Struthio camelus: one gene and its partners. The protein of the gene in region 1 binds, or shares a complex with, the protein of each later gene. Links are inferred from orthologs where the notes say so. Each region holds a gene or a part of one and is shown on either strand. Other genes may lie near its edges.

The links.
Region 2: SMU1 (region 1) and IK share a complex: the UniProt entries of both Homo sapiens proteins name them as parts of the spliceosome B complex. The link is inferred for Struthio camelus from reciprocal best matches to the Homo sapiens genes SMU1 and IK.
Region 3: SMU1 (region 1) and ZMAT2 share a complex: the UniProt entries of both Homo sapiens proteins name them as parts of the spliceosome B complex. The link is inferred for Struthio camelus from reciprocal best matches to the Homo sapiens genes SMU1 and ZMAT2.

Annotation. Positions count from the first base shown.
Region 1 is NC_090982.1:10,334,003-10,341,735, reverse strand, and holds the start of SMU1 (WD40 repeat-containing protein SMU1), read right to left. Parts: upstream 3,055-7,733; 5' UTR 2,930-3,054; coding exon 2,904-2,929; intron 2,638-2,903; coding exon 2,427-2,637; intron 2,317-2,426; coding exon 2,164-2,316; intron 1,514-2,163; coding exon 1,403-1,513; intron 489-1,402; coding exon 360-488; intron 1-359. UniProt on the Homo sapiens protein: Involved in pre-mRNA splicing as a component of the spliceosome. Regulates alternative splicing of the HSPG2 pre-mRNA. Required for normal accumulation of IK.
Region 2 is NC_090954.1:22,732,374-22,740,219, forward strand, and holds the start of IK (protein Red), read right to left. Parts: upstream 3,085-7,846; 5' UTR 3,000-3,084; coding exon 2,984-2,999; intron 2,623-2,983; coding exon 2,556-2,622; intron 2,308-2,555; coding exon 2,215-2,307; intron 1,801-2,214; coding exon 1,741-1,800; intron 1,155-1,740; coding exon 987-1,154; intron 903-986; coding exon 788-902; intron 498-787; coding exon 427-497; intron 325-426; coding exon 278-324; intron 1-277. Other genes in the region: NDUFA2 (NADH dehydrogenase [ubiquinone] 1 alpha subcomplex subunit 2), read left to right, coding at 3,188-3,291, 5,157-5,263, 6,364-6,455; TMCO6 (transmembrane and coiled-coil domain-containing protein 6), read right to left, coding at 6,988-7,152. UniProt on the Homo sapiens protein: Involved in pre-mRNA splicing as a component of the spliceosome. Auxiliary spliceosomal protein that regulates selection of alternative splice sites in a small set of target pre-mRNA species. Required for normal mitotic cell cycle progression.
Region 3 is NC_090954.1:22,677,618-22,684,983, reverse strand, and holds the start of ZMAT2 (zinc finger matrin-type protein 2), read left to right. Parts: upstream 1-4,417; coding exon 4,418-4,435; intron 4,436-7,366. Other genes in the region: histidine--tRNA ligase, cytoplasmic, read right to left, coding at 1-99, 341-434, 864-962, 1,152-1,259, 1,544-1,669, 2,493-2,588, 3,617-3,736, 3,849-3,911 and 1 more. UniProt on the Homo sapiens protein: Involved in pre-mRNA splicing as a component of the spliceosome.

The DNA of each region.
Region 1 (7,733 bases):
TTAATATGCAAGCACAAGTTAAAGACGCTAGTATTTTCCTTCACAAATAAAGAAGGGGTCTAAGCAACCATTTCCAAAGACTGAGCAATTCTGAACTGTTAAGTCAATGGCTAATGTGTTAGTCATATTCTTGAATACCATGAGCGCTCCAATGTTGTTAAGAAGCATCATTTCACACTCTCAATAGAAGTCTCCTCATGAGATCGAGGGGGAGTGAGAAATTCTTTACAAAAAAAGACAACAGAAAAGATGCAAAAGGTTTGTTTTTTTTTTTTTTTTTTTTTTACTCCCAACATAAAACACTGAAACAGGAAGGAACAAGAAATGGTAAAACACATAAAAAGTAAATAAAATCTCACCTTAATATGTCTGCTCAACTGTGTGGGGAACTTTTCTTCCTCCACATCTTTCACAGCTGCTTTGCCTCTGAACAAGTCAATTGTCATACCAGGAGGAAGCAGGCCCTGATGCTGTTGCCACTTCAGTGCCTTTTGAGGAGTTGAAAGCCATACAGCTGTGTATCAGTTAATGAAGTTTTGGTGCCATAAGCACAATACAGCAATATTTTCTTGTAACCACAAAGTGTTCCCTGGACAGTTTGAGGTAAATAATCATTTGAGCCAACCACAACTGAGATTTACGTTACGTTATGCTTCCCAAATCATGACTGCAAACAACAGGTTATTCCCAAATGCTCTTTGCAAGTGAGATTGACTTCAGACCCACATTTCTCATTTTATCTTTGGTACTTAATACATAGCACCCAGGCAGTGTGATAGGTCTGATCTTGCTTTAATTTAAATCACCTGATCAGCCGAGTTGTCTATTTGCTCAGAAGTGAATGCGTTAAAATTAGAAAGAACTCATAACCTCTCTTCGAGTACACAGATGAACTTAGTTCAAAAGACAGTCCTGTAAAACCCCTTGGGCAGATTAGTTGCTTTGTGTCACAGACCAGATTAGCTAGTTAAAAAGAGTTTATTCAGCATACCTGTCAGTTTTAGAAGTAAGACATAAACCACAAACCAACAAAATACAAAGTACTGTCTATACACAGTATAAATGAGTATGTTCTGAGAATCAGCAGTTATAAGAACACCAACTATGTTAAATATAACTTTTGAATGTGTTAATATTTATTTTGAGAATAATCATTCTAAGCTGGAGCATTTGTTCCATGGGAAGAAATCTGCCCCCGAAGGGCCGAGTTTTTCTGCAGCTGTTGAATTCTTACTAAAATGATAAAAGATCATTTTTAACTTACAATATATGCAACTCCGCAATATTCAGGCTTTATTTCTACAGAGCTGGAGAATCAACTGGGCAATTTTATGCAGCGAAGTCAGTTTCTGTATCTAGAGAAACTGAATAAGCTACTGAAACATTCTTTTTACAGGATTACCTGGCCCAACAACGCCATAAGACGAGACGGAGGTACCACGCTGACTTCTCCAGCTAAAGCCTGTGCAATAGCAGCTCTCCGTTTTTCTTTGCTACTTCCATCTGGGTATGCCTAGAAAGAAGTTACTTTTTATGAAGTCATTCTTCTAAGTGATTTGCCAGAGAAAGTTCCATTGCTTTGAGCTGAATCCCCTTCAGATTTTCTATGCGGCATGCAAAACAGCCCTTCTCTTTATCTCCAACCCTTTAAACACTTGGGATATGCATGTTTTGACTAAAAACGTCAGCTTTACACTTCAGTCAGAGAGAATATCTTGTTTTTGTTACTACTATCAATACTATTGCTGTTAATATTATTGCTATCGTTATACAACAACAGCTTTATTCCTAACACGCTTTCTTTGGCATATATAAAGGCAGGAAAAGCAAGGCAAAGATGTCAAGTGACTAGGCCAGTGTCATCCTGTAACAGGATATGGAAGTAAATTCCCAACCACCCAGCTTCACCATCCTTCAAAACCACTGTTTTGCCTTGTGACAAACTATTAGACATCATTCTGCAAACGCTTCATAAAACCCATAAAACCATCAAACTACAAAGTTTCCTTGGAATAATCTAATCCTGAAGGCTCAGGTGGATTCCAGGATCTTACACCCGAAATGGAAATGAGATGATGCTGTAAGCATCCTTTAGCAGCTTTGGCCAGTGGCAGGGATGATGCAGAATAGCATCATGAGGTCTCTGGGGAGGGCACAGCATACCTCACGAGGATCAAAGTAAGATCTGGCCAGAAGATTTTCGAGGTGGATGTACCGCTCTGGCTGAGTCTGTTTTAGCATGATCATGGGATCTGTCTGCCTCAAGAGAGACCTGGCAGCACCCAGCTCCCGGAGCTCAATCAACTCCAGCACAACCTGAAACAGAAGATAAACATCTGCATCGGCAAAGGCAGGTTGGGAAGCACCAGAGAAGGCTTCTACCGTGGACAGAGCAGGAAAGGCTGTGCACAGCCTGCCGACCCGACCTGCTCGTAGAGGTCGATGAGGGTCTTGTCGGGCAGCTTGAGGGACTGTATGGCCTGCAGCACTGTATCCCAGTGCCCGCTGTTGATATCAGCCACGAAGCTCTCGATGCTGTCCACGGTGTTGAGGGACACGGTCGTCTCCTCCTGAAGGGTGGCGAGCGCTCGGTGGAGGCTGTTCTCCTTCAGGTACTGCATGATCAGCCGGATCACGCTGCGGGGAAGCGCCGCACCATCACGACACCGCCTCAAAGCGCCCTTCTCCCCCCCACACACCTCGCCAGTGCCCACGCGAGGCAGCGCCGGCCCCCGACCCCCAGCGGCCTCGGGGCTGACAGTGGCCCCGCAGCCCCCGCAGGCGCAGCTCCTCCTCCCCCCCCACCACCGGCCGCCCGCCTGCCCCAACGGCTCCCGCAACGGCCCGGCCGAACCGCCCCGACAGCACCCGCCCGGCCCCTCGGCCGCCCCCGCCAGACGCACTCCGACGACTCGATTTCGATCGACATCTTGAAGCGCCACCGACGCCGCCGCCACTACTAGGCCCAACGCCACCACGGCGACTTCCGGCCTCGCGCCCCGCTCCTTCCGGCCGCCCCGCCCCCCCCCCCCGCGCCCACGTGACGGCGGCCCTGAGGCAGCCCGCGTCACGTGGCAGGGAGCGCGCGCGGTTGGGGGGAGCGCGTCGGGGGCGCCGCCGTGCGCCGGCGGGGGGGGAAGGGGGTCCGCGCGCCCCCAGGGCGGGGAGTGACGTAGGGCGGGGGCGGGGTGAGGGAGGGGCTGGGGGTGGGGGAGGGGTAAGGGGTGTCACTGGGGGGCTGTGGGGGGGTAACTGGTGCTGCTGGGGGGATGTGGGGGGGTAACTGGTGCTGCTGGGGGGATGTGGGGGTAACTGGTGTCACTGGGGGGATGTGGGGGGGTAACTGGTGCTGCTGGGGGGATGTGGGGGGGGTAACTGGTGCTGTTGGGGGGATGTGGGGGTAACTGGTGTCACTGGGGGGATGTGGGGGGGTAACTGGTGTCACTGGGGGGATGTGGGGGGGTAACTGGTGTCGCTGAGGGGATATGTGGGAGTAACTGGTGCTGCTGGGGGAGGTATGGGGGGGTAACGGGTGTCACTGGGGGGATGTGGGGGGGTAAGTGGTGTCGCTGGGGGGATGTGGGGGGGGGAACTGGTGTCGCGGGGGGGTGTGGGGGGGTAACGTGTCACTGGGGGGAGTGTGGGGGGGTAACTGGTGTCACTGGGGGGATGTGGGGGGTAACTGGTGTCGCTGAGGGGATATGTGGGAGTAACTGGTGCTGCTGGGGGAGGTATGGGGGGGTAACGGGTGTCACTGGGGGGATGTGGGGGGGTAAGTGGTGTCGCTGGGGGGATGTGGGGGGGGGAACGTGTCACTGGGGGGAGTGTGGGGGGGTAACTGGTGTCACTGGGGGGATGTGGGGGGTAACTGGTGTCGCTGAGGGGTGTGGGGGGTAACGGGTGCTGCTGGGAGGGTGTGGGGGGGTAACGTGTCACTGCGGGGAGTGTGGGGGGGTAACTGGTGTCACTGGGGGGATGTGGGGGGGGAACTGGTGTCACTGGGGGGATGTGGGGGGGGAACTGGTGTCGCCGGGGGGGGTTTGTGGGGGGGTAACGGGTGCTGCCGGGAGGGTGTGAGGGGGTAACTGGTGTCACTGGGGGGATGCGGGGGGGTAAGTGGTGTCGCTGGGGGAGTGTGGGGGGGTAACAGGTGCTGCTGGGAGGGTGTGGGGGGTAACGGGTGCTGCTGGGAGGGTGTGAGGGGGTAACGGGTGCTGCTGGGAGGGTGTGGGGGGGTAACTGGTGTCACTGGGGGGATGCAGGGGGGTAACTGGTGTCGCTGGGGGCGTGTGGGGGGGGTAACGGGTGTCGCTGAGGGGTGTGGGGGGGTAACAGGTGCTGCCGGGAGGGTGTGGGGGGGTAACGGGTGTCACTGGGGGGATGCGGGGGGGTAAGTGGTGTCGCCGGGGGCGTGTGTGGGGGGTAACGGGTGCTGCTGGGAGGGTGTGGGGGGTAATGGGTGCTGCTGGGAGGGTGTGGGGGGGTAACTGATCCTGCTGGAGGGGGTCGGCGGGCGGTCTGTGTTCAGCGCAGCGCCTTGGGCTGGGTCAGACCCACAGGCCTAGGCTAGCGTGGGGCTGGGGGCCTCCTGGCTGCTTCCCGCCTGCCCCGTGGCCCAGGTCGGCCAGAGAGGGAGCTGTGCGCTCTGATAACGGGTGGATTTGCTTCTCCGGGAGCGAGGCCAGATAACTCCATCCGGGAGATAGCGGAGGAGCCTCCAGCCACAGCCGTAGAGGGTAGGAGGCCTAGCAGAGACTCTTCCGCCACAAGCAGCACGTACGGAAAAGCCCTGCAACCTCCTGTTGGTCTAAACATTCTTTAAAAACTACTACAGCCCAGTTCTGTTTGCCAAGCTTGTGGTTCAGAAAAGGCAATGGAGAAATGCAGCACGTGCAGAAAAATGGTACTTATACCACCGTTACCGGTCAGAGGGGAAATGTGGGCTGCATTGTAAGCCCAGTAGCTTAACGCTGTTAAATCTCACTGGGAAAACCAGTGGTGTTTTCAAACTCTTCTGGACTGGGGAGGGGTAGTGGAGGAGGATGACACTTTAGGGACTTAACATGATTTAAAACCACAATAAAGCAAAGTTGGAATTTTTTTTTCGGAAGCTAGAGGTAATGTTTGTGGCTGGAAATACAATTTTGAACTTGGCTATTTTTGGTCATCACAGGAAAATGAAGTTACTCACTGTCCTTGTTGTAGTTTGTCAGGTAAGTTGGAATAAGTACTGGGCATAAGATCTGTTACAGAGTGCAAGGCAGAGCCATCTGAAACACTTGCAGCTCATCGAACCTGAAATACTGATGACCTGAGCAGAGTGTTGGCCTAACCAGAAGGACAGAGCAGCAGCCGTGTGTGCGGTGGGTCACGCTCTGTTCAGTGCCTGCCAGACCGAGACACATAGCTGTGCGAGGTGAGGAGGAGAAGCAGCTGGGCATCCTTTGAGGTGGGACAGTTTGGCTGGACAGTTTTGTTCCGGATTTGAGGAGCAGGGCTCAAGCTGTGAGCATCTTAGACCATGGGTTTTGAAGAGGCCCCTGAAGAGCTTGGGCAGCCCTAGGAATTGCTACAGTGGATGTGGGCACGGTAGGAGAAATGTGCCGCTCCTTTGTCCTGTGCTTTTCGTGTGCAGAAGAGCACATGAGAAAAAAGTACGAAGGGTGGGCCTCGTATTTCCCCGAGGGTGGTCATCGGTTCTGGGAAGTACAGGTTCTGTTCTGTTTTGTTTTGCTTGTATCCAGCAAAATAGCAGTATTTGAAACAGAATGGCCATTTAAACGAGCAAAGCAAATGTAACTTTAAGGCAAGAGCTCTAATATCGGGGCTTACGTAGTTATTCCACCAATTGGCTTTTCACTGTTGCCTTAGAAGTATGCTCTGGTCCTTCAGCATAAGCCTTATTTGATTGTTTTATAGTTTGAATACAGAACACTGGTTTTCTGGCTGGTGTTCTACAGAGCTATGGTGCACCAACCATCCTTTGCTCATCAGGATTTCAAAAGACTCCTTGTGGTGGCACTCACAAATGTCAGAGTGTAGATCTACCTTCTTTTTTCTTTAGGACGGGAGCTGCTGTCATCTGGTCAGTCGTGGCTTGGATGTGGAACAGCTCCTTGGCTGCCTGCTTGGTTGTATATGCAAGTTTCCAGGCTTCAAAATAGCGATCTTTCTGCTTAGCCCTAAGTCGATCCAGTGAGAGCGCTGCCTTTCAAGGATGTGATCATATATCTGTGGTTAGCACTGTACAAAACAGTTTTTCATTAGTGGGGAAATTAGTAGCGTATCTTGACTGCATTAATTATAGAGTGTAAGAATTGCAGAAAAATGCCACCATCCAGAGAAGTGCCACAGCACTAAAAAAATGCACTTGCAGAGCCCTCCAGTGGTGAGGGAGGGACGTCAGAGACAAATGTCCTTTTGGTACACCCAAAGGGTGACTGTGGCAGTCCGTCCATACTGCTTGGACTGCCACTGAGACCAAAAGTGTTGAAGCCCTAAGAGTGGAATAAAGCTGATGATATCCCTCCTAGCCGCACGCAGGTTCAGATGCAGTCCCCAGGAAGGAGGCTCCTCACATAGGATGGCTAGGTCTCCCAAGCATCTTACTGCTCCAATTTCCCCACCCTGGGCACTTGCCAACTGTTAGCTGTAAGTGCTTATTTCAACGTCTGATATCAGTGCTGGACTGCCAGAACAAAAGCATACGAAATCCACTGCGCTCAGCCTCTCTTGGATGGACTTGTTCCTTGCTGTTTTTTTAGGCTTAGCGTATGATTTGCTGGATGGGCCACAGAAAATGGAACAGAGTGTGAGAAATTGCCTACCTTTGCCAATGAAAGCTGTTCTTCACCATCTCTGTCCCCAGAGTGTTTAAGACAGTAATCCAATAGCATGAAGTTGAAGAAATAACTGCGCAAGGCACACAGTGAACACTTTGCATGCTATTGTTTCATTTCAGTGATCCAAGCTTGTTGGTTTTAATTGCTATTACAGAAGTGCAGGGATTACTGTAGAGAAGTATTAGTTGATCATTCCAGGCATATTGGTTTCCAGTGACAGGAGTGTTTATGTCTGCTTAAAGTTGGTTTGAAAACAAGTCTGGTCCAGGCTGCAACGAAGCAAAGCCAGGTGTCTAGCTTAGCCGTGCTAAGCTACCTCAATCGATAAAATCCAAAAGTGACAGCTGTTTTGCGTTGGCAGCGCATAGGAATCTTACTCAAATCTGTAGGTGAATTTAGCTTGAGTGGCTAACACTTGGTGAGAGAGGGAGGGCAGGAAAGTACTCCTGCTGTAGAACAGAAAAAGCCAAACAGACAGGCTACTTACTCCTCAGCTGTCTCAGTTCTCAGACCAGCATTTTTGTGTAACTGGCACAGGAACATGTTAACAGACTGAGCGTTGGTGGTATATGCCCCATGTGGCCTTCTTTAGTAACTCCAGGAGGAGACAGACACCTCAGCTAAATCTTTCTGTGTGGTGAGTCAGAGCTCTTAATAAACTGCTGAAAAGAGGGTCCCAACGCACCAAGTATGCGTGAGCATGCTAGAACCAGACTTTGGCTTTGTGGCTAGACAAAGCGACAGCCAACCCAATCTCGTGCTGGCAGCAGTCCTGCTCTGAGAGAAGTTTGTCTAGAGACCTCCAGAGGTCCTTCCAACCAACACTCATAGCATGCCAGCTCTCACAGAGCATTACATAAGAAAAGGAAAGATTCAGATTTTATTGTTTGG
Region 2 (7,846 bases), on another chromosome or scaffold:
AAACGTGTGGGAGAGCCACTCTTGAGAGCACTACGGATAGTCCCACACTGAGGCATCTGTAGCTGATCAGAGATCTCATAACTACCCGCTAGGAGAGACACTTCCTCCAGCCCTAAAAAAATCAGAATTTCTACACGACAAAGATATTCCTGCTTGCCAGACCCTCCTGTCCAACAGGTTAAAACTTTCATTCCTCCATCCACCCTTCGAGACTCCTCCCACCCTTCCTGGCACAACCCATGTAAGGTGGTGAGCAGTCACATGCACATAATCTTACCCAACCGAGTCTTGAATTCAATTTTGTTTTCAGGATCTTCATCTTTCCTAAGAAGAAAGAGAAGCATTACAGTAAGTGTTTGCATGCCTCCTCTTCCTCCTCTCCGGGAGGCCTCTGCACGCAGGAGCAGAGCGCCCTGAAACACTTACTTGGTTTCCTTTTGGGGCTTCTCCATCATTTCCTCCTCTTCCTTCTCTTTGCTGGCAATCTCAGCCCGTACCTGGCCACAAAGCAAATCCATGCATTACAGACCAATCCATGATACAGCTGCTCATCTGAGCCAGCAAGAGTTCCTCCACCAGATCCCCAACCCCTCTTAAACCTCTCCCAAAAAGAGCAAGCTATTCCAAGAACACACTGACAACGCTAGACTGAAGTGTCTATAAACAGTGAATACTACCTTCTCCCCACCCTCTGCGCCAGTAGAGAAGAGGAGAGAACAGAGGAATACGAGTGGAACTCTGGCAAGCCAAGCGCTGCTCAGAGCAACATGGTGCTATCTGTGCTCACCTTCTGCAGCAGCGCAAAATCCAGACCCTTCACCAAGTGAGTGTGCTCCATGTCACCACCCAAGAACTTGGACTCCTGGATCAACTGTCTCCTCTTCTCTGCAGCTGACTTATCCCTGTGCAACAAAAATAGAGCCAATTATGAGAGAGTCACTCTGGAGTAGACTGGCAACACAAGGCCTGGCCATAGGCTCACGTACGCCTCTGCAGTGGGCCCCACAGCTCTGTAGTTCGCAGTCGTGCTGATCAGCTCTGTTTCCTCGTAGTCCTTGTTGACTCCATCTCTCCTCTCCTTGGCTCGATCCCTATACTTCTCAGCCAGCTCCCTCTCACGCTCTATCTCCTGCTGGCGCAGCTTTGCATAATAGCTGGGGTTGGAGAAACAGCTCAGTGTTAGAGCTACAGGGTTACACTTATAACGCCCGGTCAGCTAACACAGCCCCCGAAGGCCCCAGCACATGCCTTTTCTGCTCCCTACTCCATCCCCAAACATGGGCTAAAGCACCAAGGGACACAGCACGCTTTGAAAACACTAGTCAAGATGAAACTGTTCTACAGGTTCACTGGAGAGGAGCCTAGCCCCTTCTAAAGGGAAGGGCCTCGAGCACAGTTCTGCTGCACAGGTGTGCACCAGGGGAAATGCTCACTAGTACAGATACCCCAGCACTGTCCAGATCTGCCAGTCACTTGCAGAGCGCTCTCCCACTTCTTCTGGCAGAGAAGCTTCGCCCCCACCCTGCTGCTACCCTTCCACATCCATTCCCACAAGCAGTGGCAGTCACTCAGTCCAAACCCTTCTCACTCTACTTGGCTCCTTTGCTCTTGCTCCAAAGTCTCAAACTAGTCCCGCCCATTTAGGGTCCTCTTTGGTAGCCCAAGCTGCTGAAGAATTGCTTCCATGGGAAGGAGATGACATGGGCCGATGTCTCTCGATGCATCATTTTCCCCATTTACCTTTTCTTCTTCCTTCTGCGAGCGGCTGGATCTTCATCTTCGTTGTACTCCCGGGGCATCCTGGAGAAGGGTGAGAAACCACACACATCATAAGCTGCACAGACTCACATCATCGAAGGCAGCTAGACAGAACAGTAACTCAGGAACTACAAGGCACTGAGATACTCAAAGGGTTTCACAGAACGACAAACCAAAGCTGCCTCTCGGGACCCTTTACGTAGTTGTTTAAAAACATGCAAAATCCACTCTGTCATTCCCAAGAGTTCTGACCAACTTATTTATCCAACCAACTCCAATAACACATACACAATTTGGACCTGAGCACAAAGCAAGGGCAAAGTCTGCTCCTTGGCCCTGCCTGCACACTCAAGTTAGCCACTGTAGAGCGCAAGCAGAGAGAGTCAAACAGAAACAGTCTTGAAGGGAGAGAGGCCATGCTTGGTCCCACAGCTGTGTGAAATGCATTCTACTCACTCATGGTGGCGAGATTTGGAGGGTGGCGCAGATGTTGGCGCAGCCCGCGGGGTCATGAGAAGCTTTCGGAAGTCTTCATTGGTCAACTTGGATCTGCAGAGAAGACACGGTAAAAATAACAATCATCTCCCAAAGAAAGATCAGCCTGAGGGGTGGGTACCGCAGAGACCGAGGGATCGCCAGGGCATCCTGTGTGACAGGATCGAACACAGGGCAGCCGCGGAGGGAACCTGGAGGCTGCGTCGGTCCCTCTCAGCCTCCTGACATGAGGATGGGCATCGTAACCCTGAGGCCAGCAGGCCTGGCTCGATCCCGCCCCGCCGGCCGGGCGCTGTGCTCACTGGTGGAAGGAGTGTGCGTCGTCCACATCGTGGCCATCGGGGGCCAGGGGGTTGGAGAACGGCTCGCCTGGGGGACGGGAGGAGAGAGAGCGCTCAGAGCCTGCCTCACCCCCCTGCTGCCCCCCCCCCCCCCAGCCCGGGCCCGGCCCGCAGGCAGGACAGGGGCAGCGGCCACTCCGCTCGCCTCCGGCCGCGCACCGGCCCCGGCCCGGGACGGGCTGGCAGGGGAGCGCGGGGCCCGGTATCACCGCCAGGAACCGCTACCCCGGCTGACTCCGTGCCCCCGGGAAGGCCCCGCACCCCCCCCCCGCCCGAGGGGCCTCCCGACGCCCTGGCACCGGCGGGTCCCGACACCCGGGCGACTCCCGCGCTCCCCGCCCAGGGTGTCGCCCCTGCAGGCCCCCGGGAGCGCCCCCCGGCCCACTCACTGTCCCGCTCCGGCATCTCGGCCCGCTCCGCGCAACAGCCCCGCACCGGAAGCGCCGCTCCGCCCTCCCAGCACCCCCCGCGGCCAGCCCTTCCGCCCGCGCCCCCCCCCCCCCGCATTGGCCAGCCTCGGGACCAGGGCCGCTGTGATTGGCGGCCGCCGAAGCCCCGCCCCCAGCCGTAGCTAGGGGAGGCCTAGAAGGAAGATGGCAGCGGCGGTTGTGAGGGGCATCGGGGGCGGCCTGGGCCGCAGCTTGCGGGAGCTCCGCATCCACCTGTGCCAGCGCTCCCCGGGCAGCCGCGGCGTGAGGTGCGGGCTGGCTGCGGGGCGGCGCTGTACACGGGCGGGGGGGGGGACGGTGCTCGGCGCTGTACACGGGGGGGGCGGTGCTCGGCGCTGTACACGGGGGGGGCGGTGCTCGGCGCTGTGCACGGGGGGGGCGGGGGCGGTGCTCGGCGCTGTACACGGGGGGGCGGTGCTCGGCGCTGTACACGGGGGGGCGGTGCTCGGCGCTGTGCACGGGGGGGGCGGGGGCGGTGCTCGGCGCTGTACACGGCGGGGGCGGTGCTCGGCGCTGTACACGGGGGGGCGGTGCTCGGCGCTGTACACGGGGGGGGGCGGTGCTCGGCGCTGTACACGGGGGGGCGGTGCTCGGCGCTGTACACGGGGGGGGCGGTGCTCGGCGCTGTACACGGGGGGGCGGTGCTCGGCGCTGTACACGGGGGGGGGCGGTGCTCGGCGCTGTACACGGGGGGGGCGGTGCTCGGCGCTGTACACGGGGGGGGGGGGCGGTGCTCGGCGCTGTACACGGGGGGGCGGTGCTCGGCGCTGTACACGGGGGGGGCGGTGCTCGGCGCTGTACACGGGGGGGCGGTGCTCGGCGCTGTACACGGGGGGGGGGGCGGTGCTCGGCGCTGTACACGGGGGGGGGCGGTGCTCGGCGCTGTACACGGGGGGGGCGGTGCTCGGCGCTGTACACGGGGGGGGGGGCGGTGCTCGGCGCTGTACACGGGGGGGGGCGGTGCTCGGCGCTGTACACGGGGGGGCGGTGCTCGGCGCTGTACACGGGGGGGGGGGCGGTGCTCGGCGCTGTACACGGGGGGGGGCGGTGCTCGGCGCTGTACACGGGGGGGGGCGGTGCTCGGCGCTGTACACGGGGGGGGCGGTGCTCGGCGCTGTACACGGGGGGGCGGTGCTCGGCGCTGTACACGGGGGGGGCGGTGCTCGGCGCTGTACACGGGCGGGGGCGGTGCTCGGCGCTGTACACGGGGGGGGGCGGTGCTCGGCGCTGTACACGGGGGGGGCGGTGCTCGGCGCTGTACACGGGGGGGGGCGGGGGCGGTGCTCGGCGCTGTACACGGGGGGGGGGCGGTGCTCGGCGCTGTACACGGGGGGGGCGGTGCTCGGCGCTGTACACGGGGGCGGTGCTCGGCGCTGTACACGGCGGGGGGGGGACGGTGCTCGGCGCTGTACACGGAGGGGGGGCGGTGCTCGGCGCTGTACACGGAGGGGGGGCGGTGCTCGGCGCTGTACACGGGGGGGGGCGGTGCTCGGCACTGTACACGGAGGGGGGGGGCGGTGCTCGGCGCTGTACACGGGGGGGGCGGTGCTCGGCGCTGTACACGGGGGGGGCGGTGCTCGGCGCTGTACACGGGGGGGCGGTGCTCGGCGCTGTACACGGGGGGGGGGGCGGTGCTCGGCGCTGTACACGGGGTGGGGGGGGCGGTGCTCGGCGCTGTACACGGGGGAGGGACGGTGCTCGGCGCTGTACACGGGGGGGGCGGTGCTCGGCGCTGTACACGGGGGGGGGGGGGGGCGGTGCTCGGCGCTGTACACGGGGGGGGGGGGGTGCTCGGCACTGCACCGGGAGGCGGGCCGGGACGGTGCTCAGCACTGTGTGCCGGAGTAGAGCTGGGACTGAGCCCCGTGTCACAGCTGCGGGAGGCCCCCGTCCCTGGCGGCCGGCAGACGTGGGTCCGCTGCCACGGCAGTTCGGCGCCCTCGGGGCACTGGGGTACCCCGGCGGTACAAGAGCGCCCCTCCCGCTAGCCTGCCGGAGCCAGCATCGGGCCCCGAGGCTCCCCGGGTCCCAGACGTGCTGCCGAACCGCCTCTCGGGAGGGGGCTTGGCCGTGCTCTTCGTGCCCTGGGAATCTGACCCTCCTCTCTTCCCAGAGACTTCATTGAGCAGCACTACGTGACCCTGAAGAAGGCAAACCCGGATTTTCCCATCCTAATTCGCGAATGCTCTGAGGTGCAGCCCAAACTGTGGGCTCGATACGGTAAGCGGGGAGGTACCTGCAGTGAAATACCTTCTGACAAAATCTAGAAAAAAAACGTGGTACCACAGTGCTGTGGTCTACAGGAAATCAGGGAGTTTGGTAATTAAAGCAATGCAAATCCTCTCTGAGGGAGCAAGTCTCTGTGAGACAAGATGTGGCTGGGGCCCCATTTCTTTAGAAGAGGAGAATGCAGGAACACAGATAACCCCACCATTAATGTACTTGAAATTCAAAATCTTGCCAATTAATGATAATTCTTGCTTATCAGTTAAACTACTGCGATAAAGTTGTTTTCATTACCTCCTTGGTGTGTTACGGCTGTGTAACCTGGTGGGAGGCACAAAACGCACACTCCCTGGGAGGTATTTGCCAGCTTGTGCCCGTTATCTCCCACACCCATAAGATGCCTATGCAAAAAAAAGAAAAAAGTTTTCTGCTTTTTCTTTCGAGTTTCACTGTATCCTCAGTGAAACTAATGAAGGAGCAGAAAAGCTCCTAGAGAGGAGGCTTTGGTTTCTTCTCAAAGGCATCTGGGACAGACAAAAATCACTTTGAAAGAAAGTTTCTAAGAGACACAATGACTCTTGAAACATGAATTTCCCAGTGTGAGTAGAAGGACCAACAAAGCCTTCAAGTACAGTGTGTCTCTTCTGTCTTGTTGTGAGTTGCAGGAAGACACACTGCAAGGCAGGAGCTGCTGTAGAAGCAAGTCCTTCAGTAGTGTTTTACTGAAGTGTTTGTGAGGATCTGGATGCGTGGGGCTTGAAAGCCACCAGGCTGCTTTGGGGACATCACCACAGTCTCTGTTCAGCTGCATTAAGAGTTAACAAGAAGAGGCAAGCAAGCATGGCATGCTGTCTTGGCTTTTCTAAGGGAAAGGCTGAGTCACAGGGTAAAGGGAAGGTGGAACCGGTAACTTGGGCATGGCAAGGCATCCTGGAGAGGGCTGGGTGATAAAGGAGGGTGGGGGTAGCCACACCTGTGGCTCTAGTGACCCTGGCTGAAGCCCTAGGAAAACTAAATCAGGACTTTACCTTGCCCTTTCAGTAGAAAAGGAACAAGGCATCTGCTCCCTCTCTCACTTTCCGTCTCTCCTACAGAGTTCGGCAAGGAGAGAAGCGTGCCATTGAATAACCTGAGCATGGATGAAGTAGCCAAGGCTTTAGAGAACGTTGTAAAAAGCAAGGTCTGAAGACAGAGTGAACCTGTGCGCACCGAAGACTTTACTGATGAGCTTTAATGTGAAACATGTCTATCCTTAAGTTATTAATCACATAAATGTACGTGCTCACCCTGAGCTTTGTGTGTTGCGCTTAAAGCTGTGACAAAAGGAGACACTCCAGTTGGTTTATATTTGCTGGATTATAAACCAGCAAATCCAGAAGGGTTTATATACCACCTTCCCAGAAATGAGAGCCTTTCTGCACTGGCCGTAGCACAGCTCTGCCCTGGCCACACACAGTGAGGCATGGGGCAGACTTAGTTCTGACTAGGCCAAATTTAATTCTGACTAGGTGACTGTAAAGACCTTGGGGAGCAGAGAAGAACAATCGTACTTTGCCAAGAATCCCCATCCAGGACCAACAGCCTTGCACTGGGGCTTACAGCTGGATGTTAGACCTTTAACCATCCCTAGGTCAGTGGTATGTGAAAGCAGAGCACACTGAACGATTTATTCCTCCTTGTAGCGCAAGGGCAGGTGGAGGGAAGGGAGACAGCATCACCTAGGAGAGAGCAGGCAATGCAGCATGTGTGGTACTGACAGCAGAGTCTCCCGCCGGCTGCAAGGCCATGTCCAGCAGTGCTCGCACCCGCTCCTGGAGTTCTGGGGTGCTCTGATGCTGCTCAAGGGCCCGGTGCCCTCCTTGGCTGATGAAGTCAACAGCAGCCTGTGTAAGGAGAGAGGGATAAGAGCTGGCTGGATCCCGGTTGCCTCTTGAGAGCTGAGGCAGCTGAGTAGCCACTACAGTTGCTCCTATCTGTCCTGGTGCCACAACTGCCATTGTACACCCTAGGGAGCAGGGCTAGAAAATTCACCATTGCCCTACCAGACACACAAGCCCAGAGTCAGATAAATATAGCTGCTTGATCATTTTAAGCACAAAACTGTGTTGATCCACCTGCACGTTAACACCTGCAGTGAGTCCCAAGGGCTCTGCACAGAAACAGGCCTCTCCTTGGTCTTTTCCCACCCTCTGAGAAGGGGGAACCATTAGCCCATTTTTCCATAGCAGCCCCAAGCTGGGTCTGCCCAGATAGGACACTGGGCTGAGAGTGTGGAGTTGTAATGGAAATATTAAAATTGGTCTGAATGAAGCATCAATGGAAATGCGTGAAAGCAGTGGAAGAAATGGCAGAACAAGGGTTCAAAGACAGCTTGTATTACCATCAGTTGTGTTCCTGGCTATCAATAAACCACAGAGAAACACGTTTACATGAAGCCCTGAAAGACTCTGCTTGCTACAGCTGCATCACAAACAACTTGGCAGTGAAATCCATCTGCTCTGCAGCAGAAGGATGGCCAAAAGGGCCCAGCAACAAGCCACATGCCCTTCTTCTCCCACTTAGCCAGATAGGACGAGG
Region 3 (7,366 bases), on another chromosome or scaffold:
ACTCAAACAGCAGCTTCATGTCCCCCAACCCCTCCTTGGCTAGTTGATTCTGGGATAGCTTTGGGTCCTGGAGGAGCTGCTCAATCAGCTCCAGGCCACCTGTGGGAACAAGCCATGCTTGAGGTCTGCCAGGAGCCAGCAACAGAGCTGCACTGGCAACCGTGGGCCCAGTCGGTCGCGGGTGCTGCTTTGCACCCTCTGCCCCTGCCCAGGGTGCGCTGGCCCCTGCCTGCCTGGCCTGCAAGAGGGTGGCAGTGCTTGTAGGGACAATGACCGAGCAGGCTGGAGGGGGGGGCTTTCAGCCGAGAGGGAGAAGGGATCCCCCCTGCAAAGCGCTCACCGTGGAGCTGGACATATTCCCCAATGCGATTCGCAGCCTCAGGAGAGAGCCCCTTTTCTCCCAGCATCTCGCTCCTCACATCCTCCCACGACATCTGTGAGGGGAGACAAGAGCATCAGTCACTGCAGAATGCCCTCATCCGTGGTCTCCACCAGCCCATGGATTCAGAACGTGTGTGGGAGGAGAGCAGATGCTTCACAGCAAGCATTCTCACTAATGATCTGTGCCTATGTCACAGGAATCCTTAAGGGAAATCACTGACAATGCCAGGCTTTATTCTTGGCCACTGCTACTAGCCCAAGAGTTCTCAGAGTCCCTTACAAACACTACTGAATTAACTGCTGTGATACTTCTTTCTGATGGGAATAGCAAAACCACTGCCCAGGCTGAACATCCCGAAACTGGAAGTGACCTGCCCAAAGAGCAAAATGCACATTTTGCAACTTCAGGGCTACTTCCAAGCATTTGTTACTATCCCATAAAGCACTGGACACAGGTAGGAGAACCCCCAGAACTCCCTTACCTTGTCCAGTTTGTCCACGGTAGAGCATGTGGTTATGAACTTGCTCTCTGGGACACCACAAATGGCAAACACACCGTTCAAAATGCGTCGGTCATTGACCTGGGAGGAGGAAGAGGCATTCTCAGCCCAGGGGAGATCATCCCACTGCAATTTCTCCTTGCCCCTGCCCAAGAGGTGCTGGAAGCTACAGCTGTTGGAGTCTCCTTGTACCTTTTCACTGGTCTCTCAAACCCACAGCACACTGGAGCGGGGGATGGGAGGGAAGGCTCCACTCGGCTCTCATCTCACCTTAATGAGAAAGTCCCCAAGCTGCAACTCACTCAGGATCTCATGCACTATTTTCAGGCATTCTGCATCAGGAATCATAGGATCGAACTGGCCAGCAATGTCAAAATCCTGGGGACAGGAAAAGGTAGAGAAATTCCTGGCATAGCTGGGCTGCTCCTGAAATCCAGCCCATCCTCCTATGTAGCATCCCCTTCTACTTCAGCAGGAGCCCAGCTTCAGGACTGCTGTGCAGGGCCTCTACTCCAGAGGCAGAGCTCAATGGGGCACAAAGCATCGTATAAGCACACAGCAGCTGAAAGTAACCACCCCTCTCACCACTCTCCAGCTCTCTCCTCCCACGTTCCTGAGAGGAACCAGCCCAGCTCCCCTCGCACAGCAGCTACAACACTCACGCACTGGTAGAATTCCCTGTAGCGGCCCCTGGTTGTGGCCGGGTTGTCCCTCCTGTACACCTTAGCGATGTGGTAGCGCTTAATGTTGGTGATTTTGTTCATTGCCAAATAGCGAGCGAAGGGCACCTGAGACCAAAGGGTTAAGGACAGAACCCAGAGATTCCCTGAGCCGGACAACCGAATCCCAAAGCCACCCCTGTCCTCCTGTCACTTCGCAGGCTGCTCCCAGACCAGGCAACAGCTCTCTAAAACACAGACTGGGCTGATGCTGTGTATGATGAACTACGCTTAGCTCTTTTAATGCAGGAACAATTTCATTTCCTTTTCATTAACTGCAGTATGTCAACACCTTGCAAACACAGACCTTCGCTGGGTCATTTTGCTTTCTTAAGGTCTGATACAGAAACAATTCAATACATAGTGCAGGAGATATTGGAGAAAAGAGCTTTTAGGGGAGACAAGTGGTGATAGAGAAGGCCCAGGATGGATGCTTCTTTCATATCTGCAGCAATCACTTTTGCTCTCAAAACAACCACCAATGCTCTGCAGAGGTATGGGAAAGGTGGCAGGGGAGGACAGGAGCCCACACAGGTGGGGACCATGTCTAGGAAGAGGTAAAACCAATATTGTGGGGGATACTGGTACATACCCACAGACCGCAGGAGAAAGAGCAGATTTGTTGCAGATATTGGACTGACTGGGAGGCAGTTAGAGGTGGGAGTCACAGAGTCAGACCAGCTTGGGATCTCAACTGGTCAGAGTGAAGGAGTCAAGAGTTTCGGTCATCCATACAGAAGGAAGCTGGGATTCGTAGATCGGTCAGGGTAACGTTACATGGGGAAGGAGGACTCATGCTAACGCCTTTAACCTAGGCAGAGACCACAGCCTGTCACTGTACCCTCCACAAGGGCTGCACGCTCCCCACGTGCTCAGGGCTGTGGCAGGATACAGTCAGGTCATAGCGAAGGGCCAGCAGCTCTCCTCCCTGATCCTGCAGCTCATAGATGAGCTTTGAGTTGTCTCCATACTTCCCCATCAACGTTTCCTAGGGAGAAGCAAGGCAGTCATTAGGGGAGGCACAGAGCAGCAACAGCTGAAGCTCAGAGCCCCCAGGATGGAGAACAGGCACTAAAGCCCAAACCCCTGAGCAGGTTGGCTGGCTTGAACTCCAGCCCCAACCTTGCTGTGAGGAGTCCCTTGGTGGGGAAGAGGGGGGAACACACAAAGTTTTTCAGCACTAAAACCATCGCTGGGCCCTGCAGGGAAGAACTGCATGACTCGTGCCACCATCCGGGGGTCCCTCAGTACCCCCAGGCCCACAAACAAACAGGGGCAAGGCACAGGGAAGCTCCGCAGAAGCAGCACGGGATGGAAGGGTTCTCCAGCTCTCCCACAGCCCCATGGATCAAGCGCTGCAGCCCCACAAGCAGAGCAGCATGTGTTTGGGGCAGGGCACATATTCCCCCCCCCAACCCCTTGCCCTAGGGTGTTTCCACAGTCCCCTCCTTCCCCCACCGCATTGGCCCCAACACCCTCCCTGCCCTATGTCCCTGCTCCCCATGCCAAGAGGGGGCACAGCTCTCCCTCCCCCCTCCCCAAGCGAGGCGGGGGGGGGGGCGCCCCTTCCCCCCTCCCCAAGCGAGGCGGGGGGGGGCGCCCCTTCCCCCCTCCCCAAGCGAGGCGGGGGGGGGCGCCCCTTCCCCCCTCCCCAAGCGAGGCGGGGGGGGCGCCCCTTCCCCCCTCCCCAAGCGAGGCGGGGGGGGGGCGCCCCTTCCCCCCTCCCCAAGCGAGGCGGGGGGGGGGCGCCCCTTCCCCCCTCCCCAAGCGAGGCGGGGGGCGCGCCCCTTCCCCCCTCCCCAAGCGAGGCGGGGGGGGGGCGCCCCTTCCCCCCTCCCCAAGCGAGGCGGGGGGCGCGCCCCTTCCCCCCTCCCCAAGCGAGGCGGGGGGGGGGCGCGCCCCTTCCCCCCTCCCCAAGCGAGGCGGGGGGGGCGCCCCTTCCCCCCTCCCCCGGCCCCAAGCGAGGCGGGGGGCCCACAGCCCTGCGGGGTCCTGCCGGCCCCGGCGCCCCCTCACCCGGAGCTCCAGCGCGGGCGTGTCGATGGCGGCCGCCCCGTGCCGCTTGAAGCAGGCCACGACGGTGGCGAAGAGCCGGTCGCGCAGCGCCATGTGCGCGGGGAGGTGGTCGCGGGTGCCCTGGTCCGGGGGCAGAGCGGCCCTCAGCGCCGGGGCGCCACCGCCGCTAGCTCCCGCCCTCCGTCCCCAGCCCCCCCCCCCCGGTGCCCCCGCTTCCTCGCCCCACCGTCACCTTGGGCGTCTTCAGAGCCGGGCCCCGCCTGCCGCCGGCCGAGCCCGCCGCCGCCGCCCGCACCTGCCGGGACAAGAGCCCGCGGTCAGCGAGCGGCCCCGGTGGACGGGGCGGCCGGGCCGGGCCGGCTCTCAGCTGGCCCCCGGCGGGGCGCAGCCGCCCGGCCGCGGCCAGCGGGCGCAGCCGCAGCATGGCCGGTCGCGGCGAGCCCGGCTCGCGGCGGCGCGCGCCGCTCTCAGCGCAGGGCGCGCGCCCCCCCCGGGCCGACACGCGGGGCCGCTCCCGGCATCACAGAGTTCCGGTGCACCAGAGCAGGCGATGGGACAGCTAGAGCGTCCCGCGGCTCTTGGCAACCATAGAGACGCGGCGCTCTGGCCGGAGAGCCAACCACAGACGCTGAGGCTAGACCTGTCGTGACGTCGTGACGTGACCGGCCCCGCGCCGCTTCCGCGTGGCACTCTAGGCCTAAGCGGCGGGCTCTCCTTGGTACTTGGGCGGACTGCCTCGCTTTACGACCCAGGCGGACAGAGCGCGACAGTTTCCGTTCGCCGATCGCCTGCATCCTCAACATGGCGTCGGGCAGCGGGGTAGGTGGCGGCGAGGCAGCGGTGATCCGTTCCCCTTTCTCTCTGTGGGCTCCGGGCCCCGTCGGGGACTGGGCCGCGCCGGCTGGGGCCGTTCTTGGAGTGCAGGGCGGCGGCGGAGGCGGGGAAGGGGCGCCCGGCGCAGGCGGGCCGTGCTCGGGGCCTGCTGGCAGGCCGCGGGGTGAGCGTCCCCCCGGGGCCGAGGCCTGCGGGAGGCCCCGTCCCCGACTGTCCCCCTCGCCGAGCCCCCGGCTGCGAGCTGAGAAGCCTCGATCCCTTCGTGGCTGAAAGGGGGAGATGGAAGCCACCTCAGCCCCCTTAGGGCCAGGGAGCCATTTTTTCTGCTAGGCTTCGTGAAGAGAGTTGCACCTGTCCCAACCCGGGTGTGGAGAAACCCCCCCCCCCCCTTCGCTCTCCTGGGGAAGACTGGCCCATCGCAGAGGCTCTCCCGGGCTCGGAGATGAGGTGTGGAGGGAGCTCCCTCTGTCCATTCCCCCTCTCGTCCTGCCCAGCTCCTTTTCAGTTTCTTTGGGGAATGGTTGCCAGTGTCCCAACTGGCCAAAATTGCTACCTGTTGCTGACTACCCTGCATAGGGAAACCTTCCTTCCTGTGATTGTGGTCCTCAAGTCTCTGATGGCTCCTGCTTAACTTGATTGTTTTATTGGCATTGCTTGATCTGTGTATTGTGGCAGTGAGGTCTTTCTGCCTGTACGGAGCCTGCAGGATTTGGTGTTGGGCCTGTTGAGATCAGATGAGTGAAGTAGATGCTATTTGTATAACCAAACTGGAGAGCCAGATTGTCGTAAATAGCTCCAGTAATACCCAAGACAGCTGTCAGCACTACAGCACCAGAGGCTGTGTCTTTCTGCTTTCTTTGCAAATGTTTTTGTCACTTGAAGGCACTCGCTGAGAAGCGAGCAATGCTGAGAGAGGGCAAGAAACAGGATGTCTTCTGGGGAAAGAGTTGGAGCCTGTGTTTTATTTTTAGCCGCTGGTGGTTGTGTTCCTCCTGCTTAGCGCCAGTCTTGAGACTACTGAATTCTTGTATAGGCTTTGAAACTGAAAAGATCATTCACTGCCTACATCTGCAGCAAACAGGAGGCTTTGGAGCACTTTTCTTTTTTTAATTGTTGTTACTTGTTTGGGAAATAGTGTATGTCACCCTGAGCAGTTGTTAGATTTGGGGGCTTGCAGCCACTCTTGCTTCCACTGGACCAATTAAGGAAAGTTCCTTTGGATAAGCTTAGATCTTGTCAGAGATAGCTCGCAGTTGGATTCGATTTGTTTCATTGTGTCTGGCTTAGGGAGACTGGGAAAAGATGTATGAAAGATTATTTTCCTTTTATTATAACAGGAGGGTGAAGCAGCAAGTAAATTTCCTCCTCCCTGGGCTTCAGCCAGCTTTGATTTGTGATAATATGCCAGTATGCAGGAGAATCCAGAAAACACCCTGAAACGTTAATTTGCACTCTATGATAATTCCTTTTTCCTTTGCTCAGGGTAGCTAATAAAACCTGTTATGATACACTTAAAGTGCTTAAGAAGCTCTGGGAATAAATGAGAATTTTTCTACACTTCTCTAAGGCATTTTTGTTCTTATCAGTAGTTGTTCGTTCCATTTGAAGGACTGCCAGAGGAGAAAACCTTAAATGATTGTGCTGCTGCTGTAGCTTCAAATGGGATTTATTTTCTTTGGATTGTGATTGGATTCTTGATTTGACTAAACTGGAGAAGGTGGTGGGTGTATGTGGGTCCTTCCCCCACCCCCAAGGTGGCTTAAAATACAGCCATCCTCATTCTCAATATGAAATTGAGAACCTGTTGCTGCCTCTGCCATGCCAAGTGAAATGCAACTTTCTAATTATCTGAGAATTACCCTCTTCAGAAAGTAAAGAAGTGTCTGAGCTGTAAGCCCTGACTCTTACCAGGTGCTGGGGCTTTTCTTTGTGGCCTTTGTGCCTATGATAGGCAGACATCAAGAAGAGAATCTGACAGTTTAGTGAATAAATAAATGTGGGTGGAAGAGGGGTTCCTCTCAGGTCCACGTTGCCCTCGGTGTTGGTGGCTAGATAAAAATCCACATATGACGGGTGGTGACAGAGGTATCTGCAGAAAGAATAGTCTTTCTATATCTTCATTGCCAGCTTCACCTGAACTCTGCCTCTGTTCCTGCAATATATCCTGTCATTCCCAGTTTCAGGTGCTTTGGGAAGCTAGTTAAGGGCCAGTCTGTCTTGGAGATGTTTCTCCTTTTCCCTGCTTGTCTGAAATTTGGAATGGGGGAGTTATGGGCATGGGACAGTTTACTGTGAGTTGGGTACAATTGTCTTCCTGCTGTCTCTGCATCCTGATTTGAAAAATGGGGTTTTCAGGGCTTTTCCTGGTTTGCTTGTATGCGTATCTCACATGAAGAATACTGCTTCCTTTGATTTAATAGCAAACTCAGTGCTTTGATTCTCATGACATGAACACATATTGCTGATGTCTTTCAGAGCAAGTGTATATATCCTTCTGGACTTGTGCATATATTTTAATCAAATTCTTTATAGCTAATATTATGTTTCATGGCCTCCTCATGTGATTTTTTTGGAGCTCAGATTTAACTGACTTTGGAAAAAGTAGGTATAATTGGCTAATGACTAGGTTGTGTTTTGTCAGGTTCCAAGCCCTTAGACCAAACAGTTGAAATCCCTGTTTGTGTCTGGTATTCAAATAGAAATCATGGATGATCATCTCAGGAGCTATTAAGATAAACTCATTACTTTGCTCAGCACTTTGAAATTCTTCTGGAAGAAACAGATATAGGCATATGGAGTATTATTCTCTTAAGCTACATCCTTAGTTTCTGGGTATGAAAACAGAGGAATTTGGAATATAATGTAGTGTCCATAATTTATTGCTGTGGCATCACAGGCCAAATGATTCCGATTCTT